Linked DNA regions of Arabidopsis thaliana. The protein of the gene in region 4 purifies or fractionates together with the protein of the main gene of each other region. This does not show direct contact. Each region holds a gene or a part of one and is shown on either strand. Other genes may lie near its edges. The genes, in order: AT5G57460, TPLATE, AT5G24710 and AT2G07360.

Region 1 (7,340 bases), on a different chromosome or scaffold from region 4:
CATGAGCTCACTAGTAGGGAAAAGGTCTTGCAACATTGACTCTCTCTCGACAAGAAAGTCCTCAGCTGAAAGAGAGTCGCTAATCCCGCTTTCTTCAACAAAGATCCTGGCAGCTTCTATTGCTTTTCTACCCATCATTTTAGCCTTGAGAGACCAATCAAACTTTTTATTGAACCTAGCAAGTATAATCTCTTGGACCTCAGTGTAAAACTTCTCAGTATCTGCAACAGAAACCAAATCAGCATGAATGTATGCAGCAAGAGCAGATAAGCCAATGAAGTTGTGAGATTTTGAATACACAGAACAAAAACTCAATCGCTCGATTTCCGATCAGATTCAAGCTAATTGCTTTAGCATCTTAACATCAATTGTATGAAATCAATCCTGGAAACTAAACAGTCACTACTAAAAAAACCATCAAATCTAAACAACGATAGTGACAGTAGTACGATCTAATAAAGCTGGAGATTGAAGATCAGATGCAAGGAGATTACCGAGAAGAAGACCGTCCATGTCGAATATGACGTGAGTGATTGATCCTCTGCCGGCGGTGACGGCTGCAGGATTCGACATTGTTGATTCGATACCGATAACGACGAACCGAATCCAGTTTCAGTCGGAAGTTAGTTTTTACGCTGGAGAGTGATGTCACTATGACGTATAACAAAAGGTTCATGGGCCGTATCTTGTAAATGGGCCGGTTCACATAGAGAGTAGAAGTTTTGCTCATAGTGAAGAGTGCTAATAAGAGATGTTGAAACTTATACATTGGAACTAAATATGTTTAGTCTTCTTCTATACAAAATAAAAGTGAAGATTCGTATACAGAGCTTTTGTTAATCCAAAGACCAACAACGGCCAAAAAATTTTTCCTCTTGTAGAGCTCCGTCGTGTCCTTCAGATGATTCAATGGTTGTTTTTAGCAACAGCCTTAGGCGGAATCTCTCATTCTTGTATACATCAGAGGCTGAATTGATCCTCTCGAACTGCAGTTGATTCCTCTGCCACTGAATAACCACGGAAAAATAGAAAACAATCGAAGTGTTAAAGATCTTTTAGCTACAAGTAATCTGTTTTAACTCCATTTGCTTACCAATAGGACAATGAAGTATGTTAACTAGATTAATTACTTATGGCACTTATGAAGGCATGCATCATCATATTTTGTGGTTTCAGTCATTTTCTGGTTAGAATCGAGAAATTAGCTACAGAGTTCAAGTGAAAATAAATACAAAAACCATATCCACCAGGATGATCAACACTACCTATTCATAAAGATATTACGGCCAGATATAAAGATCACATCAGCAATTTACTCAACAAATGAAACGATTTGAAGATAGCAACCAAGTGGGAAATTTTCGACTTCGTGCAAATTCAATGATGCAAAGAAAAGAGAATCAGAGAACAAAGTGAGAAGCTTGCAGTAGACTTAGGAGCTAACAGGAATCTTTTAAAAAGCTTTATTATGAATAATTGAACATAGAATGCTTATAAACTAAAAACAAGCACATATCACATCTAACCAAGAGGAGGAATCCGAAAAAATAAACCTGGCTTTGCTGCAACCCATCTCCGGATCCTTCTGCAATGTACATAAATAATGGCTAATGAACAAATACTCCAAAAAATCCGGTGATGCTTCGAACAAAAACTATCCTACATAGCACCCGAGTTCACCTACGCTTGAACCGCACAAATCCCCTCTCGTGTGATCATGAACTCGCAAGAACTCCCAGGCAAATAAGGTGAAAACACTATGTCAAGCCGTCTCTTAGCACTTCTGGACACAGAACTTGAACAATTCTCGTCCTTTTCACTTCTATCTTTAACAATACTACCATCACTTCGTGAAATAAAAAATCTGGAATTCACACAATTAGCCCAAGCCAAGCCTAAAGAAGGAACAACTCGTCTTCCAGACGAATACAAATACCTCAAATTCCCAATCCTCAGCCCACTTAACCCATCAGAAGTTTCAACCAAATCCGTAACCTGATTCGTAATCACAATAGCCAAATCAAACTTGCTAGCCAACTGCTTCAATTTCCCAGATATCTTGAAAAACAAAGAAGATCTCTTCTTAAGATCAGACGGAGTATTATCAAACTCCGATCTAAACAATGCCGCTACAGAATCAAGCACAATCAACTTCAACGGAAACCTAGTTTTCGAATTCCCAACAAACCCATCTATCCTAGGCATTATGTCGAACAGGTGGTCTACAGAATGGACATTTTGTACAAACACATGATCACAAGGATTATCATTGTAATTCGCGTAAATACTAGGGTTTGATTGATGAAACGTGTGCGAGAGCTGATGGAGACGACGAAACGGAAATGGGAACTCTGAATGGAGATAAAGAGAAGAACCGTTGAGTCCGCCGTGTGAAATCGGAAGTTGGGTACAGAGCGAAAGCTGAAGGCAGAGCTGTGTCTTTCCGCAGCCACTCTCCGCAACGATTTCGGTTAAAGAATCGCAGGAAATTCCGCCGCGAAGACATCCGTCGAGGATTTCACAGCCTGTGGTTAGTTTACGATTCGTCGGCGATCGTCGGAGGAGATTCTCCGGCTTAATTTTCCCATTTTGCATTTCACCGCCAAAAGCTACCAATTAAAAAAAAATCGCAAAAGTTATAAGCGCTACAAAATTTAAAAAGACCTAATCGCGTTAAACGACATCGTTTTATCATATTATTGGGCTTCTTACCTTGACATTAGGCCCAATAAGTTAAGAATAAACGTCTACTATTGGGCTTATTTTCAAACCATCGCATTAGGTCCATGCAGGTAGGATACGAGTAATGAAACAAACGACGTCGTTTTCGAAAGAAACAACGAAGATCTCATTTCTCTTTCTCCTTTTCTTCTCCGACGATTCTTCTCAGTTCTCAGATCTGATCGATTTCTTCATCAGATGTTTCAATCTAACCATTGAGATTGAATAGTCACCATTAGTAGAAGCTTCGAGATCAATTTCGAATCGGGATCATGTCGTGTTTAGCCCTAGCTCTGCAACCAGCAAATGGATCCGACATTTTGCTCCAAACTAGAGAATGGTTTCCACCAGCAAGAGCCTTAATCGCTCTCTCGTATTTTCGTCAAATGCGTCAAGCATTAGCGTCCTCGAAGCAGCAGCATCAGCAACAATCGAATCAGAAACAGAATCAAGCTTCTTCTTCTTCTTCTTCTTCTTCCTCCGTTGCGGATCCTGACGATGCCACGGCGGCGGAGTTTGTAGGTGATGATCCACTCGCTGCTTCTAATGGACAGGTTATTGTTGGTGTTGAGAGCAAGTATCGTGTAGTTTATAGATTAGTGAACTCGATCTATATCCTTGGTGTTACTGTCGCGGATCATGATAATTCGATCAATGTATTTGAGTGTATTCATATTGTGAATCAAGCTGTTAGTGTTATTGTTACTGCTTGTCGTGGAGTTGAAGTTACTCCGGAGAAGCTTGGACGGAAGTATGCTGAGGTTTATATGGCGCTTGATATTGTTTTGCGTGGTGTTAGTAATATCCGTCTTGCGGCGATGCTTGGTGCTATGCACGGAGATGGGATTGCGAAGATGGTTCATTCGGCTCTTGATACTGAGAATAAGATCCGAGGAGCTGATAGTTGGATGGCTGTTGAATCGCATGCGGCAGAGCATCAAGCTTCTGTAAACGCATTTTCTAATGCAAGATTTGAATTGCCTCCGGAGACTGTTGCCGCTGGAGATGAGTTCGCGGCGAGCTTGGCTCCAGTGGTGCCTGAATCAGAGCAATTGAAGGAAGAACCAGAGCCGGAGAATAAGGATCCTTTTGCGGCTAGTGAAACGATTAACAAGGAGAAAGAACTTGTGGGTGGATTCAAGAAGACTAAGGATCCGTCCTCAACGGATTTGACTTTGGCATTGGCTGGACTTGAAGTGACGACATTACCTCCAGCCGAGGCAACACAGTCTACGCACATCAATGTGGAAGGATTCGAAGGGCAGTATGGTGGGATTGAGTTCAGCAATGAACAGGCTACGATTGGAGAAACTTTTGAATCGTTTAGTGATGCTTGGGGAGGTGGGTTGGATCCTTCAGAGTTTATGGGACCAAAGAAGATTCAGAAGAAGGAAGGACTCGGTGGGCTTGAGCTGTTGCACACCAGTGATCCGAAAGCAGTGGAAGGCAAAGATGGAGTTAATATCGATAACCTAGTTAAGAAGCCTGAGATGAAAGGTCCTGAAATGTATATCTCTGAGGAAATTAGAACCGAGTTTAGAGAATCCTTGCTTGCTAGAGTAGGAGTAATGGGTGTGATCTATCTGAAAACGATGCCACCCAAAGGCTCTGGTGAAGAGAAAGAAACTGAGTTCTCATTCCGTGTTGAGGGTACTACTGCAGTTAAGAGATTTGCTATGCAGAGTTCTCGGATCAGTAGCTTAGGGAACGGTTTGTTTCACGTGAGAACTGCTCCATCAGAAGAACCAATCCCTATCCTTAAATATAGCTTGCAACCTAAACTAACCCCGTTGCCTCTTAGAGTCCGAATGGTGAAACGAATCAGCGGGACTTTACTCTCACTTATGATACAATACGTCTCAAATCCGGATCTACCTCAGCCTCTGAAAAACGTCGACTTTATCCTAAAACTCCCGGTTGATCCCACATTGCTTAAGGTTTCGCCTAAAGCAATACTGAACAGAACCGATCGAGAACTGAAATGGCAAATTCCGGAGATTCCTCTGAATGGAAGTCCCGGGAGACTAAGAGCACGGATGCCTATCGATTCAGATAACAGCGAGGAAGAACCAGATATCATCTGCTATGTGAAATTCTCGGTACAGGGAAATACTTCTCTGTCTGGTATCAGTCTACGTGCAGCTGCTGAGGGAAATACAGATTTCTTTGAGGTAGATCACAGGTACGAAACCGGAGTCTATATGTGCAATTGATAAAAGTTTCTCTCTAAAAGATTTACATTGTTTATAATTTTCTCTAATGTTCTTGAGTTTGGCCTTTGTTGAGAGTTATTCTTTTTTTTGGTATGTGTCATGTAAGGTTTTGTGTACTTGTGTATCTTGACCTCTCTTCATTGTTATGTTATCTGTTTTACTCGATTTGCTTTTACATTTTTATATTATTGAAATGCGGATTACAAAATTTAAGTTTATCAAATATACTTTGCAAAATGGTAAAGTGGAAGATTCTCCTAATTGTTGTGATGAAAGTATCAAAATAATTGTGGTGGTTGTTGAAGTACAAAGGCTATTATTATGTAAAGACAATCACAAACATTTTGAAATTGTTGATCTCTAAATATCATATTACATTATACATAACAAACTTAAGACAGTAAAAAGTATAGATGTTTTGATTGATCAGAACATGTAATATAGTCTTGAGTACTAAGGTTGATATAGTGTCATAATCTAGTGCCCGTTTGCAAGTTGTCGCAATTTTTTTTGATGTAAAATAGTGCATGCAATGACCTATTTTTTAGTGACATTAACAATAACCACTATGGTTCTAGTATCATCTCCCTCGAATAAGGCCTTAACCCCATTAAAGATTTACACTATGGTTTTAGTATGATCTCATCTCCCTAGTATACAACACATTTTGTGTAGCTTTACTATACATCATGTTTATTTTAAAAAGTGGGATTGATTCCACATGATTCTTAACATATAGTCATATAGATCTTGCTCCTGTCAATTACATGATGCATTAAAAAAAATCAGCTGAGTATATTAACAATTACGAAAAATACTAATCTCACATCATACCAGCGCGCCGAATTAAATCCATAGAACATGTCATTCTTAGGTCAATTATCCACTATGACATTTCTTTATTTAAAATGATAATGTCATGTGGGTATTAAGCACCAAGTACAATCCATTCCTAACTACGGGTTACAAAATTAAAATATCAATAATAATTTACATATTTGTCTCTTATTTGTAGAGTGACATGTCTAGTTGTCCAGATTTAATATAATAAACTAGTTGATTAATAGCAATTGCTTGTAAATTACTCAAAAAGTAAGCAGAAGCTGTGGGATCCTAAACACAAACCTCTAAAGAGATGATGAAAAAAGAGATATTGATCAACTTGGCCTACCAAATCGTCAACTTTAAGTCTTTAACACTTCACATTTGATTAATAAAACATATAATTTGAGTGTTCATTGACATATAAGAACGTATTATATTGCAAGCTAAGGGATGAATTCTCAACCCCAACCGGCCATACCTAATATATGACAGCTCTATTTATCACTACACAAAAAGGACCAATTATTTGTTTGGTTTTACACCTATTATAACAATCACTATATTACATAAAATGGCGAGTACATGCTATACACGAAGGTCAGTTGGAGCAAGATGTCTGAAAACATTTTTAAGTATTCATTATTCAATAATGTCTTGACTCGAGAATCATGTGTCTTCACTCTTCAATAATAATCCATAGTTTTATCCGTCTTGTTTATATGCAAAACAATAGTAGCCACTGTATTTTCAGTATTTTAGTAGATGAGATTAGGTGTTTGGGTTATTAGCCTCTTTAAGACTGGATAACTTATGCATTAAAATTATTAAAAGTTTTAATTGCTTCCAAACCTTCTACAATAAACATATCACCATCCCACCCAAACACCTGGTATATGTGTATAGGCAAAATACTAGTATTTAAATATTAACATGCTATTGACTAACACATGGTTATAGTTTGACAAATATTTGGTCCAAATTATTTTATGCATAGTGATAAATGCTAATGGCACCCAATGAGATCCACTTTTGCATTTCCCATTCCCCACATAGAAAAATCTTCATCAACCATTTGCCTTTTGAAACTCCCTTTTTTTTTTGGCCAAATCCTCTTGAACCTCCTTTTTTAATCACTCTTCTTTTTACTTCAAAACTTTTCTCATTGTAGCACATTTTTGTTTCTTTCACTTTCTAACTTCCGAGTTTCATACTTTCATGTTTCATCTACTTGTAACAACCAAAAGAAGAAGAAATATCATAACCTTTGACCATTATGTTCTACATTATAAAACTTTAAAAGAAAACAACAAAAACACATTTCAATCTTCTCTAGTCTTACAAATGTTATCCTCAAGCTCAATCTCTTCTTCATCATGATCCTCATCTTCATTTTGACTATCTATTGCCCTCTTCTCTTGTTCCTCAACAACTTCCAATTCAGTCAAATTCCCACTTCCACCCCTCAATTTCCCATCTTTCACATTTCTCTCCCCTCTACTTTTTAAATCCTCCAACAACTCCCTAATCGCCTTCTCTTTATCCCTCCTATTCTTAATCAAAGCCTCACTTACATCAGCAGGA
Region 2 (9,813 bases), on a different chromosome or scaffold from region 4:
TCGGTCATTGGTTTATTGAATTAACCAAAATTTTACTCACTACACAAAGTGTTATTGATTGTTTACTCGGATAAAATGCCATCGCATTGGTTAAATATCAATCTAACTATCATTTTTTACAACAACTCATGTACACTTGACTGCTGTTATCCAAGACACAACACTCATGAATCTCAGTCGATTTCACCCTCTTCTACTTCATTGCCGGGATCTGGAAACGCAAGCATGTCGGATTCATCTTCATCCTCCTCATGTTTCATAAATAGCCCCAGCTGCTCTAGAGGATTACTTCCTCCAAACCCAAATACAGCCAACCCATCAGACTCAGAGCCAACATCTCTTAGATTTCGTAACTGGTCCGTGTTAACCGTTTTGAGCAGTTCTAGGTCCTTGAGAAACCTTGTGTTCTCATTTATTTCAACCGACTTCTCCATCTGGTGTACCATTCAGTCATGGCAATGATCAATATACATGTATTGCAGTTTATAAAACCAAACTGGTACAAGGCAGCAATTTTGATTTACCTCAAGCAATGCCTGCCGGGCTGCTTCTCTTTCAAGTTCCAGTTTCCTCTTAGCCTCTTGTGCCTCAGCTTTTCTACGAGCTTCTTCAGCTTCCTTGGCTTCTGCTTGTAACCGTGCTTTTTCTGGTGCACAAAACAATAAGAGGACAAGTTTATGTACGTATATACTACTTGGTATATATCATCAATCAAAAAATCGAAACTAGCAAATCAAGAATACCTTTCTTCTTTTGCAATTCCAGTTCTTCCTTCTCACGTTGCAGTGTCTCTGGGTCTCGTTTCTCATTCTGATCTCACAAATATAATTTTGAAAGTCAAAGAGGGAGGGCTAACCAGATATAACAGCTCACACCTCCACAAACACAGCTAACCTGATTAAGAGTTATCTCTTGAGCCTTCAAGATTATATCCGCAAATCGATTTTTCAATAGAGCAGCCCTGTAACGCTTTTCTGGAGGTAGTTCCTTCTCTTTTGGAGCACTATTTCCTAAATTATTAATGGGTCAAGAGTGAGATGCCACCCTCAGATATTAGAGCACAGATATTTTTCTGCTACACTTCTGAGCTTACCATCTTGATGACCATCTGCCCCCTCAATAAGACTTAGCTTCCCTCTGGATGCATCTTCCATCTGATTCAATCCACCGACGGAATCTGCTTTTAGAAAGGGAATAAGAAAACCAAGGTTTATTAATTAATATCAACAAAACTTAACATCTTTTGCACCAAAAGAGGAGTAATCACTGATTAGAGATAATATGATCACTATAGAAAATAGCAAACAGCGACCTGGGAGTAAAACAAGCAGAAAATGTAACAGGTCTATCACTATCATACTAGGTGTGTAATATGAGTTGCTATCAGTAAGGTCAGTAAGTTTCACTCCAAAAAAACTACAGAAGTAACATTGAGTATTCTAGATGGACGGCCACTTCTGACAAGAGGGAAGTAAAATGGTTCCGAGGGTTAAGTACATATAAGAATTGCAAACATCAAACGTCTGCAAAAGCTCCATAGAGAAAAAGACAAATACAATGTAGCAAGATTAAACAAACCACTGTAGTTCTCTAACGCCATACCTTTTTCTGTTCTGACAGTTGAGATGTGAGATATAGGGTGCTCATAATTACCAATGTCAACATCCTCGTCCTCCAATTCACTCCCTGCAAGTAACGAGGAGGAAATGACAGCTTAATCATAGAGTAGGACATGCGAATTAGCTCAAACAACAAAACCAGTGTATGCTAACCATCACAGTGTTGCGTCAATGAATTTCCTGGCCCTGACCCATGTAAAAGCTACATCAAGAAAGTTTTCGCTGTTTATCAGTCATGTTAACAAATGGATCAAGAATGAGATATAGAAAGGTGATTACCTCTAACACACAGGGTTCACCGTTTGAATCTTTCTTTTGATTTTCTCGCAGAAACTCATCAAAGAGATCCCGCAACTGGAACAAGGCATCATGACTGAGATCATTGATGTCAATCTCTATCTCATCATCTCCAGATCTCTCTTCCTTGGAGCTGTGATCTCTCAGGAAATTTATTATCTGTACAGGGAATTCTGTCAAGGACCCCAAATCTCTGCCAAGCTTTACTCTATCCTCATCTGTCATAACCCGCTTAGCAGGCTCTAAGAGGCTGTTACGTTTCACAGCATTCATCTTTCTCTTCTTAGCCACAGGCTCAGGTATCGCAATATCTTTGTGAGCAAGAGTAGCCAAGTTACTTGGTTCAGATTTGGTTCCGGATGACTTCTTCTCGATAGTTTTCCATCTCACTTCAAAAAACTTGCTGAGAGTATCAGCGAAGCGATACACATTATTATCTGACGGGTTATAAGTCATAGCATTGCGGAAAGTAAGACGGACATCAGCAGAAAACTCTGAAGGGCTTGAATACGTGCCGGAAGTTAACTTGCTTTTAACAGTTCCTAAATCCATAGGATGTTTGATAATGGTGAAATAATCAGGAATGTTGAGCTTGACGACGTCCACAGGGGTATTAAAGAGCCAACAATGCTGCTGCGACATCAATCGTTTAAGGAGGCTCTCACATTGCTTCATCCGAAGCATAGTGGAAGTGGTGACTGGCTCTGGTTTGGTTGCTGTGAAGGGGAGCACCCTTTTTCCAGGGCCAGTAGAGCATCGTGACATTCCAAAACTCTTGGGGCGAGACACATTACTTGCAGGTGTACTAGTAACAATCTTAGATATAGGAAGAAGGTCCCCAACACTCTTCTGAAAGGACCGTAGTTGTTCCAGCTCCTGACGAAGCGTATGAATCCACTTTCTCCTTTCTGATGATGACAAGTCAGACAAGGGTAAAACTATTCTCGGGACACCAAAAGTTTCATCATCCTTGGAAGCATTGGGGCTATCATCACAGCCGCCGGGAGAGTCAAAACTGTTACGATTATAATCTCCTGGGAAACCACCGTTCCTCACAGTCATGATATCGCCCACCGAAGTGCGAACCTGCACAAATCAAAATATTTAAGTCAGTTTTGAGAAACCCTAACTATGAAAACCTGAAAGCAATTCAATTCTTAGAGCCCTATAGTATTGCTGGAGGAGAGCAGTGAACACTCAATATGCATAAAAAAGGAAATTCGGAACTAACCAACTCGAAACACTTAGCAAGCGATCGAACCGGAGCAGAAGTAAGAGAACCGAGGAACAAGCGTAAATCTTCTCCAGCAGAAACAGATTAACGCTAGAGATTGGTGTAGAAGATGATGATGAAGAAGAAGATAGAGTAAAACCCTAGAGTGGAGACGAAGAAGACGACCGAGAAGTAGAGAGAGAACAAAATCGCTCTCTGCCCTCCCTTCTCTAGTGTCCCGTCCCTAACGAATGCTGCGTCTAACGCCGTTTTGCTACTGGGCAGGACTCAATCTGGACCGTCGGATCTGATCCCTCGAATTAAAATCGAATGCAAATACTTCGGTGCATAAAAATAATATCCTGGGCTTATAATGTAAAGCCCAATGAACTTTTTAATGTGCCTTTATTGGGTCTACGGATGACTCAACACGGCACGCTGTGAAAGCTCGAATCGCAGGAACGGCACGCGCTTTTTTCCTTCGAAAACAATTTCTTCTCCTTCTTCTTCAATTGATGGTTTGATTTACACATCCTTCTTCTTCCAGTTCCATGTCGCATACGTACACAGATTGACAGCGAAGCTAGTTAGCTCAGATTTTGGATCTCGAATTTCAGTTAATTCGATCCGGTTATGGACATTCTTTTTGCTCAGATCCAGGCGGACCTCCGTTCAAATGACGCGCTTCGCCAGTCATCGGCGCTTCTTCAGGCGCTGCAGCAATCCGCCGCCGGAAGAGATATCTCTGTGATCGCTAAGTCTGCTGTGGAGGAGATTGTTGCTTCTCCGGCTTCAGCTGTTTGTAAGAAGCTGGCATTCGATCTCATCCGATCTACCCGCCTCACTCCGGATCTTTGGGACACCGTTTGCTCAGGTGTCAAAACGGATCTTCATTTTCCGGACCCGGATGTTACCGCCGCTGCCGTCTCCATCCTTGCGGCTCTCCCTGCCTTCTCGCTTCCTAAACTCATCTCTGATTGCAGCTCTGAGATTGCTTCCTGCTTCGATTCTCCATCTGACAACCTTCGTTTTTCCATCACCGAGACACTTGGCTGCATCCTCGCGCGTGATGATCTCGTTACTTTGTGCGAGAACAATGTGGGTCTCCTCGACAAGGTCTCCAACTGGTGGGCTCGGATCGGCCAGAACATGCTCGACAAATCCGACGCCGTCTCCAAGGTTGCCTTTGAGTCCGTCGGCAGACTCTTCCAGGAGTTCGACTCCAAGCGGATGAGCCGTCTTGCTGGCGATAAGCTCGTTGACAGCGAGAACTCCCTCGCCATCAGGTCCAAGTGGGTCTCTTCCATGGTTGACATTGTATGGAGAAAGAGGAGCGCTTTGATGGCTAGGTCTTTAGTCCTTCCTGTCGAAACCTTCAGAGCCACTGTTTTCCCTCTTGTCTTTGCTGTCAAAGCTGTTGCTTCCGGTAGTGTCGAAGTGATTAGACAGCTTTCCAAGGCTTCCTCTGCTGCTGCTGCAGCTAATGCCACCGTTGTGGACTCCAACGCCGAGAAGCTGGTTGGCGTCTCAGATTTGGTTACCCATTTGGCGCCATTCTTGGCTTCCTCTTTGGATCCAGCTTTGATTTTTGAAGTGGGAATTAACATGCTCTACCTGGCAGATGTTGCCGGAGGCAAGCCAGAGTGGGCTTCACAGTCCATTATTGCAATTTTAACACTCTGGGACCGCCAAGAATTTTCCTCTGCTAGAGAGAGTATAGTCAGGGCCGTTGTTACGAACCTGCACTTGCTTGATCTGCATATGCAGGTATGTCGTTTTTTACTTCATTTAAGCTCGGTTAGTTGTGTACCTTTGTCTTGAAGCTGTGGCCTATGATTTCTGAATCATTCTTTTTGGAATTTGTTACGAAGGTTTCGTTGTTTAGAAGACTGCTGCTTATGGTGAGAAACTTGAGAGCAGAATCGGACAGGATGCACGCATTAGCCTGTATCTGTCGGACAGCTCTCTGTGTTCACCTTTTTGCCAGAGAAAGTGCCCGAAGAGGTCAGAAGCCTCTGCCTGGGACAGATATTATTTCTCTCTTTGAAGATGCAAGGATTAAAGATGATCTCAATAGTGTTACCAGTAAGAGCTTATTTCGGGAAGAGCTGGTGGCAATGCTTGTGGAAAGCTGCTTCCAGTTGTCTCTACCTTTGCCTGAACAAAAAAACTCGGGTATGGAGAGCAGAGTGATTGGTGCGTTAGCATATGGTACTGGTTATGGTGCTCTGAACTGGACAGAACCAGCCCTTGAGGTTGTGGAAGTTTGTAGGCCTTGTGTCAAATGGGATTGTGATGGCAGGACGTACGCTGTAGATTGCTATTTGAAATTGCTTGTTAGGCTGTGCCATATCTATGATACCCGTGGAGGAGTGAAGAGGCTGAAAGATGGTGCTTCCCAGGATCAAATATTAAATGAGACACGATTGCAGAACTTGCAACGTGAGCTTGTTAAGGATCTCCAAGAGGTAATTAAGCCTCAGCTGAAAGTTAGAAGTAACCCTTGGCAATTTTCCTCGAAGAATTTTAGTTAGGCTTTCTTAAGTACTATTTAATACTAAATGTGGAGGAGAACTATTGCTTGTGGACTGAAACGTGGTCAATGTCTTATAAAAATCTTGATCTCAATTTGGCAGGTAAATACCCCAAGAATCCTCGGGCGTCTTATATGGACAATCGCAGAACATATTGATCTAGAAGGTCTAGATCCACTTTTAGCTGATGACCCCGATGATCCATTGAATATTATCATAGCAAACATACATAAGGTTCTCTTCAACTTGGATGCCGCTGCTACTACATCGAATAGGCTACAAGATGTTCAGGCAGTCTTATTATGCGCCCAGAGGATGGGATCGCGTCATGCAAGAGCTGGCCAGTTATTAACCAAAGAGCTTGAAGAGTATAGGAACCATGCTGCTGCAGATACAGTTAGCAAACATCAAACCCGTTTAATATTGCAGAGGATCAAATATGTTTCAAATCTTCCTGAAAGAAAGTGAGCTTTCCCTTGGCTTGTAATCCTTTTATTATGTGAGTTTTACTGCATTTCTGGATTGGAACTCAGACAACCTATTATTTTCCAGGTGGGCTGGAGTTAGTGAGACAAGAGGAGATTACCCGTTTAGCCACCATAAGCTTACTGTTCAGTTTTACGAACCATCAGCTGCTCAAGACAGGAAATTAGAAGGTCTAATTCACAAGGCCATTCTCGAGCTTTGGAGGCCAAAGCCCACTGAATTAACTCTCTTCCTTACAAAAGGGGTCGACTCAACTTCTATCAAGGTTCCTCCCACAGCATATCCTTTGACCGGAAGCAGTGATCCTTGCTATATAGAAGCTTACCATTTAGCAGATACAAATGATGGAAGGGTCACTTTGCACTTGAAGGTTGGTATATATTCTACTGTATCATCCTGCAGTTACTTGAATACAGTTTTAGTGGATAAAGTTTTAGCGTCTCAACACCTTATACTTTATGTTACCTTTCAGATTATTAATTTGACAGAACTTGAACTGAATCGTGTGGATATACGGGTTGGATTATCTGGTGCCCTATACTTCATGGATGGCTCTCCTCAAGCAGTGCGGCAGTTGCGTAATCTTGTCTCACAGGTTGCATGTCATTCTTCAGTGCTTATATACTCCCATCTCTTTACAGTTCTCTAATTTCTTAAGTCTTGTCAGTTGGAAACCGTTTCTGTTCTTACCAATCAATCAGTTTCGTATATGTTAGCTGTATTATCATGGACTCTGTGATTTACTTTTGTAGGATCCTGTACAATGCAGTGTCACCGTTGGTGTGTCCCAATTTGAAAGATGTGGTTTCTGGGTTCAAGTCCTCTACTATCCATTCCGTGGTGCTAGGGGAGAATATGACGGTGACTACATAGAAGAGGATCCACAGATCATGAAGCAGAAGAGAGGTTCAAAAGCAGAACTCGGAGAGCCTGTGATCTTAAGATGTCAGCCTTACAAGATCCCACTGACTGAGCTTCTTCTACCGCACAAAATCTCACCAGTCGAGTTCTTTCGTTTGTGGCCTAGCTTGCCAGCTGTTGCAGAGTACACTGGCACATATATGTATGAAGGAAGCGGCTTCATGGCGACCGCCGCACAACAGTATGGGGCTTCACCATTTTTAAGCGGACTCAAATCATTATCCTCGAAGCCATTCCACAGAGTCTGTTCCCACATTATACGCACAGTTGCTGGCTTTCAGGTGAACTTGGTTCTGTTATTCTTCTTGTTCCTTAACTGGATTGATGGTCTGATAAACCCCTAACTTGATGTCACTACAGCTTTGTTACGCTGCAAAAACGTGGCATGGAGGTTTTGTGGGTATGATGATCTTTGGCGCTAGTGAAGTGAGCAGGAACATGGATCTGGGTGACGAGACTACCACCATGATGTGCAAGTTTGTGGTTAGAGCATCAGAAGCATCAATCACAAAGCAAATAGAGTCGGATATTCAGGGATGGTGTGATGATCTAACTGACGGGGGCGTTGAGTACATGCCAGAGGACGAAGTGAAGGCAACCGCGGCCGAGAAGCTGAAGATCTCTATGGAGAGGATAGCTTTGTTGAAGGCAGCTCAGCCGAAGAAGACTTCAAAGATAGAGGAGGAATCAGAAAACGAAGAAGAAGAAGAAGGAGAAGAAGAAGATGATGATGAAGAAGTAAAAGAGAAAAAGGAGAAAGAAGAGGGAAAGGACAAGGAAGAGAAGAAGAAAAAAGAGAAGGAAAAAGGAACATTTTCTAAGCTGACAGCAGAAGAAACAGAGCACATGGCGCTTCAGGCAGCAGTGCTCCAAGAATGGCACATCTTGTGCAAAGATAGAAAATATACCAAAGTTAACTAAGAGCGAGAGTACTTTTTTCTCAGATGAAGCTACAACAATCTTTGTTTTCTTTTGTTGTGTGTGGTTTCTTCGTAGGTTTAGATGTTTTGTATTGTTGTTGGTGAAGAAAAGAAACAAACCAAGGATGTTACTATTGCCCTTTTTTACGAATTCTTCCGTCTTATTCACAAATTTCACACGTTTATGGAACCAAGGATGCATTTACCCATTTTCCATCAGTAACATTCTGTAGTCATGCAGTGTTTGGCGTGAGATTGCTCTGTTTTTTGCAACGAAGAAAACTGAAAGATAACCAGAAACAGATCCATGTTTAAGGAAGATGGTTTTGGCTTCATTTGTGATACAGTGTTTGAGATCCAGAAACAGGTTTATTGTCTGAGAAACAAGAAAGCCTTAAAAGCTTATCCACGTCTGCATTATGAACTTTGCTTACAAATAAAAAGACAGTCACATCACTAGCTTTCCTCTGAAGTAATTCCTCTACGCAGGTACTTCAGAGAGGGTCCTCTTCTTTCCTTTCTTTACCTCTGTTCCCTCATTTTCTGCCTGCTCTGCCTTCTTCTGCGCACGGATCATTGCTCGCCTTGCGCGCGGTCGCATCTCTCTAACTCTACGAGGCGGCATCACAAATGGCTCAAGTGGCTTGTCCCCAAAAGGATGCTCACCGCCTTCAAATATCCTCAGCTTCCGATCCCTGTCCTATACCCACACAAAGCAACAAAACCTCAGCACATTCTTGTTTTAAGCAACACATCCTAAACTATGCGAGCAATTCATTTAGGAGCTGAGAAGCGAGAATGTATCAGTACAAACAAGCCACTATTCCCACCAAAGATAAAGGACAAATAACAAAATGGTAAAACCAAGAGTTCAGAACAATCTTCCTTCCAAACCTAAATGATTTTCAAAACAAGGGTATATCATCTCATTCGATAAGACCGATTTGTGAGGAGAGACAACCTTTCTAGACATAGGACACCAAGAATCTCATTCCACACAACTCATGATGGATATCAACAAGTAAGAGTAAAGCCAAGGTGTGGGGTAATATCTGTAGCCAGAAAGTCAGGGATCTAAAAGACTGAGGATTCAGGTGATTAGAAAATGTTTCAGTTTATAGTGTACTCACATCACGCAAATTGTTACTTGGAAGCATGCGCCAGACAGCCTTACGAATGACCTCTGTGGGATCTTTGGCCATCTGATCTTTCAGACTCCGTTCCTTCAGGTGTCCGATGTACCTACAAAGAGAGATTAAATAAAGTAGATGAAAATGGGAGATACTAAAAGATATGATAAAACACTTGTAGTAGCTGAAGATTCACAGGAGCATTAAAAGAAAGAGTGCAACTTGCCCAGTATGCCAACGGTAGAATTTGTCAGTGAGCTTTCTTCCTGTGAAGCCGATTTCCTTAGCATTGAGAACAATACAAATATCGCCATCGTCGCGGTTAGGACAATAAGTAGGCTTATCTTTGGCTTGAAGCACGGTTGATATCTGGGAAGCTAGTCTACCAAGAACCTAGAGTAGACAAGTTATATTCACAAATGAAATCCTAGCAATTCAATTCAGATTTAATACAAAGACACAACAAAGATAAGGCATCCTATCTAAAATCTGGAAATGTTTGCCACTGTAGTCATGTAACTAACCAAGCATAAGAAGAAGAAAGTGGTAGAAGAAAGAGAGAGTAGATTGGAAGAGAGGTAGAAGAAAGAAAACCTGGCCTCTGGCATCAAAAACACGCCAACGAAGACCGTCGAGATTGATACGCTTTATACCTGCCACAGCTTTCTGCACAAAGACATACTCAAGATCAGC
Region 3 (7,549 bases), on a different chromosome or scaffold from region 4:
CATAAAGAATTTAAGCATGCCAGCTGACACGATGTTCATCACAGGGACTCACTGGTCTCCTTCAATCACCAATAAGAGGAGCTGAGAAACATGGTCTTCCAGGCGTTATCTCAGGTATTTAAGCGAGAACCACCGCTCAAGTCATCTATAGACATTCAAGACATTTGATGTTCGTGTACACGCTGTCCTTTTGTTTCTGGCTTTCTAATTTTATGCATGTTAACTGGGTGCCTATATATGGTTCAGGAGTGGCCATGGGGATTACTGGACTTGTGGCCAGACCAACCGCTAGTATCCTTGAGGTAACTGGAAAAACCGCACAGAGTATAAGAAACCGAAGCAGGATTCATAACATAAGATCCCAAAGGCATAGGCTTCGTCTTCCGAGGCCTCTGAGTAGAGAACAACCTCTCAGGCCTTACTCATGGGAAGAAGCGGTCGGGACAGCAGTACTTATGGAGGTTGGAGATTCCCTGAAGTTCAAGGGCGAGAAGCTGGTGAAGTGCAAAGCCCTGAAACAAGAAGGAGCTTTCGTTGTAATCACAGGGAGACTGGTATTGGTTCTAAGCAGCCTGAGCTTGGTAGATTTCAGAAAACAGGGATTTCTCGGAGTTCCAATAGATTTGGTATGGAATATCGAAAGAGAAATCGGTTTGGAGAGTGTAATACATACAGATTGCAGCGGTGGAGTAGTCCGCATCATAGGAAGCAATTCAGATGGTGTATGGAACTGGAGACAGGACCAGCAAAAGAAGAGCAGCCCGACCAAAAAACGATGGAACAATCCTTCAGCACAGCCGCTTCTTCAGACTAACTTAGAGTTTCCATCGGAGGAAGAAGCAGAGGACTTGTTGAGTGTGTTGTTATCGACTATTGAAACTGGGAAAAGCCGGAGCTGGCACAGTCGATTTGTTTTAAGTCGAAGTAACATCACTTAAACCGGAGACTTGCGTACATAAGAATACAGTAATTCTTTAATTTTCTTTGTGTACAAAAGTGGCTTTATGAAACTAGTTTTAGAATATATGGTCTGACATGTTTTGGCTATAAAATTTTTTTTAAAAAAAAAGCGTAATAAATCGAAGTGTATTGTACATGGATTGTCAGGCATCATCATGATGCTCATATATGTGGCATCATCATGGTGATGCTGTTTTTCATGCGGGAGAAATGTTTTTACCAACATCAAATCGTATTGCTGCGGAGTTGAGAGGGATATTATGGGTACTACACAGTCTATGTGATCTACACTTCTATAATATTGAGATTTGGTCCGACTATGGTGCTCCTATGGAAGCCATTAGTGACCCATTAGATTGGCCACGTATTTATCTTATCTTGATAGGATTCATTGGTTTCTCCCGAATTTTGATAAGATCGTATTTAAGGTTTCATCGCACGAGATATAGCCACAAGCGTAATGAGAGAAGGTCGATGCAGATCATATTTAGCTCGTGGAAGTCCGATGTGGTTACACTCGCATTGAAGAAGACAAGCGGCGTTGATTTTATTGTTCTTTATTAAGTTAAGATCTTCTATAAGTGTATGAGGAAAACAAGTTTAGACGGGAAAAACAAAAAATCGAAGTGTATTGAGTAAACTTCAATGAAACCTGTAAAGAAAAAATTAAATTAAATTGAAGATTAAATAAGACTTTAATTTTGATTGCAAATCTTTTTATCGAATTCTAGATTTAGTTGTAAACATAGTAAACCCTTATTACACCAAATACTATAGTCATTTTGTTTGAGATAATTCATTTGGAATTCTCTTTAAAAGTTTAGTGATCGGAGGCTTCTCGATTTTCTCTCTCTTCTCTCACTTGAATTTTTCAGAGAAAGAAAAAGCGATTCATGGCAAGACTCCGTCCAACATCGTTCGGCTTCTTTAACGACGATGGTTGGTTCGTTTCCAGCATCAATTGGCTTCTTTAGTGGTGGTGGCTGGCTTTTGTATCCGGACGTGGTCCGGCTTTGCCGTCTTATCTCGCCGTCTGGTTTCTACTTTTCTCTTTAGTGGAATCCGGCTTTAGTTTCCAGTTCTTTGATACCGGTTTTACCTTTCTGCTTTTCAATAATCATTGTGATCTTAGTACCAATTTTTTTTTGGGTTTTCCTTATCATCCTCTTTTCTCAAGCTTTTTTGCATCCTTATTTAGATGAAAGTCAATCTTTGTTTCATTTCTAATCTTTACCTTTTGGGTTTTAATCAACTATTAGAGTTTGTTTCAACCTAAATCGATTCTCTCAATCCTTTGATTTAGAATCTCAATTCGGCATATCTGGTAAGATTTAATCATCAAGAGAAATCATGGTTTTTTATTTCTCTTTTGTCATAGATCGTTGCTGTTCTGGAGAAATTTAGATCAAATATAAACTCTGGATATTGTGGAGCAGAGAGTCAGATTTACAAGCGTGATGAGATTGTCGTAGAGGAAATGGTGGGTTATCGGATTTGATGGTGGTGCTGGGAGATAACGATGAAACAATCATCGGCGTAAGAGAAAAGTCACATCCACGTGTCGTATGTTGCTTTGACTTGTTTTATTAGCGCTGTACTCTTTACTACAAGGTGTTTAGTTGTACCCTTTATGGATTTGTGAAATACTTTGATGACTGGGCTTTAGTGATGTTTGTAAACCCATAATTTGAATAAAAAAGAAACTTATGAACAAGAAAAAAAAAAGTTCAGTGATCCAACGGATCCACAATTAATTTCCGTAAATGGAATATATTTTGCGACAAAGGAAAGGGCTAAAACAATTGTTATTGGGCCTTTTTTTTTGGGTTAATCAGACTAGCCTTCGCAAATTCGCGCTTTACGCGTTTCGCGTCTGAAGACACTACCGGAGTTTTTGTTCGGCGATTGTAGTTAGTGGTGGTGGATCCGGGCATTTCATTTGATAACCGCGGTGGATCTAATTGATCTGGATCTGACCATAGCCCTGCTTGCTTTTTCTGGAAATTTTTAGTGTGTAGCTCTGGAGAGTTTCTCGTGAGTCGAATCGTCTATGCGGATGCAGTTGTGCTCAGATTTTTGAGTTGTCTAATTGATCTTGAAGAACTGTGAGAGAGAGAGAGAGAGATCGAAATGTTGCGGGCGAGAGCATTTCGGCAGACCAATGGTAAGATTGTGAAGATACAGGTACATCCTACGCATCCATGGCTTGTTACGGCTGATGATTCAGATCACGTCTCCGTCTGGAATTGGGAGCATCGTCAGGTCTGTATCGAGATTCTGATTTGATTTTGGTTCCGGTTCTGATTTCGAATCGTGGATCTGTCAACGTTTATGTCTATTGTGTTAGGTAATTTATGAATTGAAAGCCGGCGGAGTTGACGAGCGCCGTTTAGTTGGTGCCAAGTTAGAGAAGCTCGCCGAAGGAGAATCCGGTGAGCCATTGTTCTATTCTGGTGAAATGAGTATGAGTTTCTGATGCTTTATGTTCTTACTGACATTCGTATTTTCCTCAGACTATAAAGCTAAGCCTACTGAAGCCATTCGAGGAGGAAGGTAGTAGATAGATCTTTCTCGCTGCTAATTCAGTTGCTCCTTTCGATAATGAGAAAAATGACTTATCTGCTCAATGTTTGCACCTACTAGCGTTAAGCAGGTGAAGTTTTATGACGATGATGTGCGTTATTGGCAACTGTGGCGCAACCGCTCCGCAGCTGCTGAATCTCCATCAGCTGTCAATCATCTGACATCTGCTTTCACTTCCCCTGCTCCATCGACTAAAGGCCGTCATTTTCTGGTCATTTGTTGTGAGAATAAAGCTATTTTCTTGGATTTGGTGACAATGCGTGGTCGTGATGTGCCAAAGCAAGAGCTTGATAACAAGTCACTTCTCTGGTAAGTTCATTGCTTTTTCTCTAATTTTAGGATATGGGTTTGCTTGACACCTGGACCCCGGGGAAGATGCTCCATTACTTTAGGCTTCCTATCTTTAAATCACTTGAATCCTGGAAAGACCTCCGTTAGTTACTACGCTGGAAATATTTGAGTCAAATGTAGACTAGGCATAAGTGTAATGGATATGTGTGTTCTAAGTGTAATGGATACCAGGCTTCCTTGATGTTTAATGTTCAGTCAATGGCCAAACTCCCTTTCTACATTTTTAATTTCTACTCCTCCTTAATGTTGCTAGAATTCTTCCTTTCTTTGCAGCATGGAGTTTCTTTCGAGATCATCTGGTGGTGATGGCCCTTTAGTTGCATTTGGTTCAACTGATGGTGTCATTCGGGTTTTATCAATGATAACATGGAAGGTTTGTTTGTTTCAAAATTATATTTTTTTTTTTTGGTTTCTCTGCTGGGTTTAGAGTGAGGGATTTTGATACTGATCTGTGTTAATTTCCTTGAATGTTTACTTCCTTGCAGCTTGCACGTCGATATACAGGTGGCCATAAAGGATCCATTTATTGCTTGATGAATTTCATGGCATCATCTGGCGAAGTAACTACATATTCCCTATATATGCCCTCTTTATTGCTCTGAATTTATTTCGAGTTATTTACTTAATATGTTAATAGTTAATACCATCTGATAGATGAAAGTGTCATGTAACTTAGAAAAACATACTCAAGATCACCTACTAAGATCGACTGTATATATTATATGAAAACGAGGTCTTGAGCATATCGTCTTGGAAGTTTCCTACATATATCTCTTTCTTCTTAGCGACGTAAAAATCTCACATTCTACTAAGTGGGAGTCCAGACCGCAGCAGGCCTTACTATACGGATACCTGTTTTACAATCCAAATATCTAGCCTTAGTTTCTTAGATCATCTGTACTCGGGTTAAATTTCATGCATAGCCTAGGCATTAGGAGCGGCGGGAATTTTAAACATTGGCATCTCTTTTCCCAATTGCTTGTTTAGGTTATGTTAATAGCGAATTTCTGATAGTACTGGGCTTTCTTCCCTTTTATATAACTTGACGTTTTTTAATGAATGCTTATCAAGTATTTTCTCTCTGTTATTTATGTGCAATACATGATACTAGCCATCCTCTATCTAAATGCAATTGCAGGCACTCCTTGTTTCAGGTGGCAGTGATGGCTTACTTGTACTGTGGAGTGCCGATCATGGCGCTGACTCAAGGGAACTTGTACCCAAGCTTAGCTTAAAGGTACTCAATTATGCCCACTCTTTCATTCAAAGTTCAAGAGAGGATATTACCATGACCGTTCAATTCTTAGGCCTGGAAAGATTTGCCAGATTTGGTTACAGCTGAGGCTAAGGCACCATTGTTCTTAGTTCCAGTGAACCTTCTGAATTGATTTCTGTGTCTGTTTCTGAATGTTGGATACTTGCATTTAGATATTCTTTCATTCTTTTTATAAAAGGCTGAGTAATGATTAGGGGACTATGACATGCTCGTGCTTTTTTTTTTTTTTTGGTGTAATAGACATGGTCATGTTTGCTTAATTGAGTGGATAATTTCCACTTCTCTGTTATACTTTTTTTTTTTTTTTTTCCTAATCCCTTCTTGGCTTCTTCTAATGTTTTTGTTCTGATTGTATTAGGCACATGATGGTGGGGTGGTGGCTGTTGAGCTGTCAAGGGTAAGTGGGAGTGCTCCACAATTGATTACAATTGGGGCTGACAAGACATTGGCCATATGGGATACAATGACATTTAAGGTAATGGTGTATCTCATGTATGGATTTTTCATATTTTCCCGATCTCATTTATTAACATGCATATCTACTTTTATTCTACAGGAGCTACGTAGAATTAAACCTGTCCCGAAACTAGCTTGCCACAGTGTTGCATCTTGGTGTCACCCTCGAGCGCCAAACCTTGATATTTTGACTTGCGTTAAAGATTCACACATATGGTATCTTTGTTTAAGATTTGGTATTGTATATGGTAGAATATATTTATGTATATTAGATGAGTGGTCTAATTGTTTGAATTTTTGCAGGTCTATTGAGCATCCAACTTATTCGGCCCTGACAAGGCCGTTATGTGAACTTTCTTCCTTGGTTCCGCCTCAAGTACTTGCAACCCACAGAAAACTTAGGGTAATTAGCTCATTGTTGATGAAATCCTCGAAATCTACCACGTATCATATCATTTCTTTCTGCCTGCTAGTTGTATACTATATCAATAGCTCATGCTCAAGCCTGAGCATGAGCATTGCTCTCTGAGGCTCCATTCTATGTGTCCCACAAAACATTAGTTTCTCTTCTTATCTCGTAAAATGCATCTATTATGGTTCAAATGATGAAGTTGTGTAGCTGTATAATATTGCACTTGGCAATGCAAAGGTATTCTGACTCAAGTAGACTAGGAATAAGAATAAGAATAGAATACAACTGTTTGTATTACTTCTTGCAGAAAAGTTTTGTATATAGCAGACTTTAAATTGATAGCTGTTTGAACACTAAATTTATCTAAAAGAAAATTGCAATGGAGAAGATACGTAATCTTTATGTCAGATGGTGATAGGGAAAGCACATGCTGCACCCGAAAGTTGAAAGTTATTCCTTTTTCAGAATTTGCAGATAATATTCGGGGTTCATTTTCTACTTGAAACCGCCAGTTGATGATTTTCAAAGATTGCTAGTTTCTTTATTGCATAATTATAATAGCATTGCTTCTGTACTTCTTTCGCTTTCATGGCTTCCATACATTGGTAGTAACCCTCATCAGGTACTTATTAATTTCCATTTTTTAGGTCTATTGTATGGTTGCACATCCTCTACAACCACATCTCGTCGCAACTGGTACCAATGTTGGTATTATAGTTAGTGAATTTGATCCTCGTGCTATCCCGTCTGCAGCTCCTCTACCAGCACTGCCTGGAAGTCGGGAGAATTCAGCTATATATATCCTTGGAAGAGAATTAAAGCTCTTGAACTTTCAACTATCCAACACAGCCAACCCATCCCTTGGCAATAATAGTGCCTTGTCCGAATCAGGGCTTTCTAAGGGAGACCCAGGTGAACAGTTAACTGTAAAGCAAACCAAAAAGCAGATCGTGGCACCAGTTCCACATGATTCATACTCAGTTCTTTCTGTGAGCAGTTCAGGGAAGTAAGTTCCTTAGCTAATTGTTTTTTATGAATATAATTTTCTTCTTAACTCAGCTAATTTGTTGAGTTTTTTTTTTTTTAGCCAGCTAACTTTATTCTCTGATTGTAGGTATGTGGCAGTTGTATGGCCGGATATTCTATACTTCTCTATCTACAAGGTTAGTGACTGGTCCATTGTTGACTCTGGAAGTGCAAGACTGTTGGCGTGGGATACATGTCGAGACAGATTTGCGATTCTAGAATCTGTGTTACCTCATAGAATGCCTATAATCCCTAAGGGTGGTTCATCGAGAAAGGCAAAAGAAGCCGCTGCAGCTGCAGCTCAAGCTGCTGCTGCTGCCAGTGCAGCTTCATCGGCTAGTGTCCAAGTTCGTATTCTCTTGGATGATGGTACCTCAAACATACTCATGAGATCCGTAGGAGGTCGCTCTGAACCGGTATGTGTCTGTTTTTTTCATTTATACCAGATCATCTGCATGTATTCTAGAGCAGATCCATTGAATATT
Region 4 (7,187 bases):
GAATTAAAGATGTCACTTTGATGGATACCCCACCTATATGACTGGAGATCCCAAGAACTAGGTTCAAAAGGGAAAACTAAATCAAACGAAATATATTTGGAGAATTATAAGATTACTAGTCGCAGCCTAGTTTCCAGGATGATAAACAGTGCTTCTTGTACATATAAAGGATAAGCAATGCTTTTAATGATTGAGTCCAAAGCTTTGATATATAAGTGGAGTTTTACAAGAGACTTCTTAAAACAAATGCTAGTGACAAATCACCTAGTGAGTGTGGAATGTGGCCGTTTCTAGGAGAATGAGAGGCTATATTCTCTAAGTTCACTCATGAAATCCAGGATTGTTCAAAGCCAAAATGAACACAATCTAGAGAACTTGTTTTTACGAGAAAAAGTAGTTGGGTTTTACCTGTTGTCTAGGTTTACATAAAAATCTGGGTGGTTAAAGACATCATGTTCACCTCCTGGCCAAGTAAATTCGACAAATATTAACAGTGAATAGTTTAAGGCTGAAAAATACTACTATCTCATACACATCTATTTTTTGCATATACTCTTGAAAGTTGAGTCTGTAAAGTCTAAGTCAGTTTAGGTTATCGAGTCAGTCAAAAGTCTCAAATGTTTAGAGTCAATTTTATTCATGTGGGGGATTGTTGGAACTCAATTTTACACAAGTGGCTCCGGCTAACTCTTCGGTGATTTTTCCGGTGATGGCCATCACCGGAATGACCGGATTATGGAGTCTTTGAATTCCTTGTAATGAGCACTATAAGATAGTGTAGTTACATATAAAAATTGAAGTTATTATGAATGAGTAATTGAGGTCCAAAGTGGTGAGCTTGAAAGCTTATAATAACAAATATTGACAATTGTCCCATATTAGAAGTTTTAAGATCTCTCCTCTAGCATATATGGTGCTACCCATTTAACATGGTTCACTAGCTATTGGGAAGGGACACTATGGTGTAGGAGATGCAAGTCCTTTATGCAAAACAACACACACACACGCTCCGCCGCCGTCGTGCCGTGCCGAGCCGGGCTTGGGCCTTGGGCTCTTGGGAAATGGGGCCTTTGGCCCACAAACAATGTTCTTTTTGGGGAAAATACTTATGAGGCTTTGTTGCATTATTTGTAATATTTGCAACATAGTTTTTGGCCCAAAACGAAAGCCCATATCGTTTCCATAACTAAGGTATATTCGGAATATTAAAAGCATATCCGAATATTCCTTATTCGAATCTTAATTCCTTAAACGGTTGTGATAATGGCTCCGCTAATCATGCCCACGTCTTTGACTTGCGCATCACTCCGAATCCCACGATCTTTGATTTGCGGATTGCATTTCCTCACCTCTCTCCTATAAAAGGAACACATCTTCCTCTCATTGTACTCACTCGTTTTTTTTGCTAAAAGCTAAAACGAAACTCTCTCCCTTTCTCCCTTTCTTCTCAAAGTAAGTCAAGAGTATATCGTTTATTTCATGTTCGCAGATTCCGCTATCGAGTGCTGCGATACCGGTTTTATAGTGATTGTATTCTGCGATCCACTGCTCATAAAACCGTCACACTGCGGGAGCTAGTTTGAATTATGGAAAGAGATCAAATCTCGTCTTCACTCGTTTTCGAAAAACGTCTTTCCTAATCGTTTTATAAAGATTTTTGATTTATTGCAAATCAGGATTTCGCGGTCCTACAATCCATTCAATCATAATAGGAAGGATAAAAAGGGGAAAAATGTCAAAAAAATCGCGAACTTTCAAATTTGGGACAAAAAAGCATGAATTTTCGAAATATCAATTAAATACCAAAGTTATTGTTGACTTTAGAATTAATTAGATAACTTTTATCGATTTTGCCAATTTGGGCACGATGTTAAGTCAATTGACGGAAAAATTAACAGAGTTAAGTCTTCTGTTATAAATTCCGTTAACTTATGAAACAACGTTGTTTTGAATCTAATTTTTTATTACAAGTTCAGGAATTGAACTCGCAACCTTTAAGATAAAACAACATTCCTTTATGGGAAAAACGTCGAAAAAATCACCAACTTTCAAATTTGGGACGATTTAATCTTGAACTTCACGAAAGACAAATAAATCGTAAAGTTTTTGTTGATTTTCGAAATTAATAACAAAGTTATTGTTGACTTGCCATTTCAGTCATGTCGTTAAGTAGGTTAACAAAACGACGTCGTCTACTTCAACTTCCTTCTTCCGTTTTCTCTTCTTTCGATTTGATTTGGGCTGAGGAACATTGTTCGTCTCCTCACCAGATGGGATTCGAATCGATTCGGCCTCTATAGGATTTGAGATAATGAAATCGATTTGGGGATTTAGGGTTTAAATTTGTTTCAACAGAAGAAACGATGTTGTTTGTCTCTACAATAAACGACATTGTTTTGTCCTAACAGAGCAGATAAACGGAACATGAACGTCGTAAAAAAATTCTGTTAACCTATGTAACGACATGACTCAAATGGGAAGTCAACAAAAACTTTGTCATTTATTTAGAATGTCAACACAAACTTTACGATTTATTTGTCTTCTGTGAAGTTCAAGATTAAATCGTCCCAAATTTGAAAGTTGGGGATTTTTTTGACATTTTTTCCATTCCTTTACCGACTAAGCTGAATCATTTATTTGTTTGTTTCTCAGAAACATACATATTTATATAGGTTATAACAAAATGCCCAAATTAATAAAAGTTAGGTTTCGATCCCTTTGTCACAGTCACCAAATAGGCGAGTATCTTGCCGTCGTCAACTCATCGCATCCTACACAACACGAACTCAATTAAGTAGAAGAATATCTCTAGAACAAGAAACCTTAATTTCAGCACAATTTTCAGAACATGATCAATCTTTCCCTAACCAATTTCAAAAGTTTTTTCCAAGAGAAAACTTGATCAAAAAATGCAAAGATGATGAATTCTTTTTAATCGTTGAGGTTTACATCTTAATTTTTCGTCCCAAATTTGAAAATTTACCTTTATTTTTGACATTTTTCCAAAAAATACCAAAACAAAACTTTGGATGACAAATAAAAGATTCACGTGCATCTCACGTGCTTCGTGATAATTTAACAAAAGTGTAGAATTTTGATAATTTTGTAAAATTGTAAAGTTGCGTTTGTCTTGTTGAATCGCCCGTCACTAAAATCCTCTCCGAGAATCCTCCTCCGATCTGCCACTAGCTATGGCGGTAAGCATCGTCGGATCCTCACCGTATTTCACCGGCCAAGAATCGAATCCAAGTTTACCTTTCTTCCATTTTCCTCTTTACAGGAATCGTCTGGTACCACGCTAATGGATCTGATCTCGGCGGATCCAACCCCGGTTCCTGCACAATCTACTTCTTCGTCCGCATCTTCCACGGCGTCTCAGCCGACTTCTGCTTCCGCATCGTCTTCTTCCCATCTGCACCATCCAATGTCGACGAAGACGACTCTAGGAGAGAAGAAATCGAAGAGAGCCACTTTGATGCAGATCCAAAACGACACTATATCTGTTGCTAAAGCTGCACTGAATCCTGTTAAGGCCAATATCATGCCACAAAGGCAGAGACAGAAAAAGAAGGTTCGATCTACTAATTGAATTTTGTTTGGCACATTTATCTGTGTTTGAACTAAACCCTGGATCATTGGAGCTAAGAAAACTAGATTGTGGTTGTAGATTTGAATTGTTAATAGGAGGTATCAGTGTATATAGAGTCTCTGTTGTAAATAGAGTCTTAGTGAGTCAATATACCTATGTCTTGTTCTTCGATGTAGTTAACACGACTTTATGTTGCAAATGACTTCCCAGCCGGTTTCCTATTCGCAACTTGCAAGGAGCATTCATGAATTAGCTGCCACTTTGGATCAGGTTTAAGTTTGTGTTCTTATGCTCTGCCTTTATACCTCTCTTCTTCTGCTGAAAATAGTATCTGACTGTTTCTTCTGTTTTTCGCGAGTGAGCAGAAAAGTTCTCAGAAACAACTAGTGAATCACGTGTTCCCTAAGCTTGCTGTGTACAACTCAGTTGATCCTTCTCTGGCCCCATCTCTTCTTATGGTATGTGTCACTGGTTACTCATTTGACGACCAGATAGTGTCAGATCAAGTACAGTTTCTTGTATCGTTTTTTATAACTTTATGATGGAGCATCTAAAATGATTTGTTCTATTAGAGTTTTTTTTTTCTCTACCCATTAAATTATCATGGATCTTCACAAATTCGCATTTTCAAAAACAATATCCGTCAAAGAGAGGCATCAGGTTTTTAGCATTCTTTTTCTCTTGTGATTGATACAGCTTAATCAGCAATGTGAAGACAGGAATGTGCTACGATATGTTTATTATTACCTAGCTAGAATTTTGTCCGATACGGGCATGACTCCAGGGGGTGGTATCCCCACTCCTAACTGGGATGCTCTAGCAGATATTGATGCTGGTGGAGGAGTCACAAGAGCTGATGTTGTTCCTCGGATAGTGAATCAACTTACAAACGAAGCTACAAATTCTGAATTTGAATGTGAGTTTCACTCGCATTTTTCAGGCTTTAGTGTTTTATTTTATACATTTCTGCCTTGGACTGTCTTAATCTTATTTATCTTTATAATGGTATTAGTTGTTAATGTTTTTTAAGAAATATCCCAGTACCTTTATAATTTTCTTTTGATAGACCCAAATGCTGAGAGGAGTGACGTCAAAAGGTAGTTATGTTTAGATGTGGTGTCAGTTTTGGTATGGATTTAAATAATTTGGGGGTTATGGAAGTGAGAACCAACATCTAAGATAGATTTCCAACTTTCCATCTGTAATGTGACTGGAGATGAATTTCTAACCTTATCATATGTTTTTCTTCAGTTCATGCTCGACGACTGCAAGCTTTGAAAGCTCTGACATATTCACCATCAGGCAATTCTGAGCTTTTGTCAAAATTGTATGAGATTGTATTTGGCATTCTTGAAAAGGTTTGTCTGACTGCCAATGCTCTATGATTTTTAACAAGATGCTTTGTTTATTTTTAATAAACCCTGGCGTAGTTCATTGTCTGCACTCTGCGTGATTTAACCGTAGTCCCACCTTTTCTTATTTATATACAATTATACTATTTTATTCTTATTGCTTTTCATATGAGTGTGGTTTAATTTACGGGGGTTTTCCCAGTGACATGCAGAGGCCCTGATTTATCTTTCTTGTCGCTTTCAGGTTGGTGATGTTCCGCATAAACGAAAGAAAGGTGTATTTGGGACAAAAGGGGGTGATAAAGAGGTATCTTTCTAAACTCTTAGGTTCCTCCAGGAAAAGACTTAAGGCTTATATACTAGTCATGTTCCTGCACTTTATAATTTTCTTTTTTACAATGCTCTGCATGTTCTTTGCCTGCTGTAGGGTAGAAATTTCTCAAAATTCTTGTTGATGACTGCATGCATTAGGCAGTGTATCATAGTTGCTCTATAATGATATGAGTTTGCACATCTGGAGACTCTGGCTATTAGCTATCAGATTTTTAAGGCCCGAGTTAAATGTTATTTGAATTAATAAAACCATTTTTTTAAAACATTACAATTCTATTCGTATATCAGATTATCAATAAGCCAAAGGAACAACTTTGATAACTTAGCTTCTAGATATGTAGGCAGACGAATAGAATTCTTCCTCACTTGAGTATACAGCTTCTGGATTGCAGAAGGTCAACACTAAACTTTGTTATTAACTTGAGCGTTTTATCTCGTTTTTGTTAGTCGATTATGCGAAGTAACTTGCAATACGCTGCTATGAGTGCACTGAGAAGACTCCCTCTTGATCCAGGAAATCCACTTTTTCTGCACCGTGCAGCTCAGGGGTAAGACTTTTTTTTTGGTTCTTTCTACTATCTTTTTAAGTATAGAGTATTGGATTTAAGTATAGTGATGTAGGTTTCACAAGAGCAATTGAATTTTTGGTCTATTCCTAATTATGCAGTATATTGGACAGTTATTCTCGTATTCACACTTTTATGTTGCAGTGTTTTCTTTGCTGATCCTGTTGCGGTGAGGCATTCACTGGAAATTCTATCTGAGTTAGCCACAAGAGACCCCTATACAGTAGCAATGACATTAGGTAAATAATTTGTTCTATTCCCCCTTATATTGTTTTTTTCATTCTATTTCTGTGTGTAGAGACATAACTGTTTTTCATTCAAAACTTGATATGTGTCTCTTGATCTTTTTGCTGCAGAAAAGCTTGCGTCTCCAACAGGTATGCTCACCAGGCCTTTTATCTCTTGACGTTAATCTTTTTGCTGGTTATTTCGTGTTTATTTGTGCTAATTATAAAGAAGTGTTTGGAACACGATCTGGGTTAGCTGATATACCTTTCTTCTGTACACCAAATTAGGGGCTTTGCAAGATATCCTGCATATGAATGATGTTCTTGCTAGAGTTTCTCTGGCTAGGTTGTGCCACTCAATATCTAGAGCTCGGGCATTAGATGGTAAGTACTATCAACCTCTTTCTGCTGCCCGTTCTCGCTCTGTTTTTTTTTCTTCTTATCTGGCTATATGGGAGAGATCTTTTGAGAACTTACATGTTGCTAGTTTCCTTTCAATCTTCCTACAGAGAGGCCTGATATTAGGTCTCAGTTCAACTCAATTCTCTATCAGCTACTCCTAGATCCAAGCGAAAGGGTATGCTATGAGGCGATTTTGTGCATTCTGGGAAAACACGATAACACTGAGAGGCATGAGTTCTATGACTTTGATTTCTCTTAGTTCATTCTTTGTAAGGTATTGAATAACCAAAATGTACTGCATCATTTAGGATGGATGAGCGTGCTGCTGGGTGGTATCGCTTGACGAGAGAGATCCTGAAGCTGCCAGAAGCACCATCCTTGTCCTCCAAGGATAAATCTAATAAAACCAAGCGTCCACAGCCCCTTATTAAGCTTGTAATGAGGAGGTACTCCTAGCTTGGTGGAAGACTGTGTTTAGAATTGCAGATCTTATGGATTCCCTTTCCTCACTAGAATGTTGCTTTGGATTGTAATGATCGTTATGGTTGTGTTTCTTGTTAAAGAACTTTCGCAAATTGATCCTGTTCTTTCAGGTTAGAGAGCTCATTTCGCAGTTTCTCAAGACCAGTACTTCATGCAGCAGCAAGGGTTGTGCAAGAGATGGGAAAGAGTAGAGCAGCAGCGTTTGCTATGGGATTACAGGACATTGATGAATCCG

Evidence for each region.
Region 1: the proteins of AT2G07360 (region 4) and AT5G57460 fractionate together in Arabidopsis thaliana (co-fractionation; one large-scale study listed by BioGRID). This does not show direct contact.
Region 2: the proteins of AT2G07360 (region 4) and TPLATE fractionate together in Arabidopsis thaliana (co-fractionation; one large-scale study listed by BioGRID). This does not show direct contact.
Region 3: the proteins of AT2G07360 (region 4) and AT5G24710 fractionate together in Arabidopsis thaliana (co-fractionation; one large-scale study listed by BioGRID). This does not show direct contact.

Annotation. Positions count from the first base shown.
Region 1 is NC_003076.8:23,272,328-23,279,667, forward strand, and holds AT5G57460 (muniscin carboxy-terminal mu-like domain protein), read left to right. Parts: upstream 1-2,782; 5' UTR 2,783-2,993; coding exon 2,994-4,934; 3' UTR 4,935-5,161; downstream 5,162-7,340. Other genes in the region: GS1 (Haloacid dehalogenase-like hydrolase (HAD) superfamily protein), read right to left, coding at 1-221, 495-573; XRCC3 (homolog of X-ray repair cross complementing 3 (XRCC3)), read right to left, coding at 1,681-2,595; AT5G57480 (P-loop containing nucleoside triphosphate hydrolases superfamily protein), read right to left, coding at 7,079-7,340.
Region 2 is NC_003074.8:275,409-285,221, forward strand, and holds TPLATE (ARM repeat superfamily protein), read left to right. Parts: upstream 1-3,473; 5' UTR 3,474-3,762; coding exon 3,763-4,896; intron 4,897-5,000; coding exon 5,001-5,597; intron 5,598-5,765; coding exon 5,766-6,127; intron 6,128-6,215; coding exon 6,216-6,519; intron 6,520-6,621; coding exon 6,622-6,744; intron 6,745-6,901; coding exon 6,902-7,351; intron 7,352-7,430; coding exon 7,431-7,991; 3' UTR 7,992-8,243; downstream 8,244-9,813. Other genes in the region: BET10 (bromodomain and extraterminal domain protein 10), read right to left, coding at 174-434, 525-646, 744-810, 895-1,010, 1,094-1,177, 1,603-1,686, 1,773-1,821, 1,899-2,978; AT3G01790 (Ribosomal protein L13 family protein), read right to left, coding at 8,472-8,690, 9,121-9,232, 9,347-9,513, 9,715-9,786. UniProt on the Arabidopsis thaliana protein: Functions in vesicle-trafficking events required for site-specific cell wall modifications during pollen germination and for anchoring of the cell plate to the mother wall at the correct cortical position.
Region 3 is NC_003076.8:8,463,462-8,471,010, reverse strand, and holds the start of AT5G24710 (Transducin/WD40 repeat-like superfamily protein), read left to right. Parts: upstream 1-2,837; 5' UTR 2,838-3,090; coding exon 3,091-3,222; intron 3,223-3,307; coding exon 3,308-3,392; intron 3,393-3,473; coding exon 3,474-3,513; intron 3,514-3,603; coding exon 3,604-3,852; intron 3,853-4,167; coding exon 4,168-4,267; intron 4,268-4,379; coding exon 4,380-4,454; intron 4,455-5,032; coding exon 5,033-5,131; intron 5,132-5,528; coding exon 5,529-5,645; intron 5,646-5,726; coding exon 5,727-5,842; intron 5,843-5,929; coding exon 5,930-6,029; intron 6,030-6,685; coding exon 6,686-7,044; intron 7,045-7,152; coding exon 7,153-7,480; intron 7,481-7,549. Other genes in the region: AT5G24740 (vacuolar protein sorting-associated protein, putative (DUF1162)), read left to right, coding at 45-114, 247-938.
Region 4 is NC_003071.7:3,053,104-3,060,290, reverse strand, and holds the start of AT2G07360 (SH3 domain-containing protein), read left to right. Parts: upstream 1-3,094; 5' UTR 3,095-3,191; coding exon 3,192-3,197; intron 3,198-3,280; coding exon 3,281-3,571; intron 3,572-3,799; coding exon 3,800-3,859; intron 3,860-3,954; coding exon 3,955-4,047; intron 4,048-4,285; coding exon 4,286-4,505; intron 4,506-4,840; coding exon 4,841-4,947; intron 4,948-5,185; coding exon 5,186-5,248; intron 5,249-5,721; coding exon 5,722-5,822; intron 5,823-5,984; coding exon 5,985-6,079; intron 6,080-6,196; coding exon 6,197-6,217; intron 6,218-6,355; coding exon 6,356-6,451; intron 6,452-6,576; coding exon 6,577-6,703; intron 6,704-6,777; coding exon 6,778-6,915; intron 6,916-7,062; coding exon 7,063-7,187.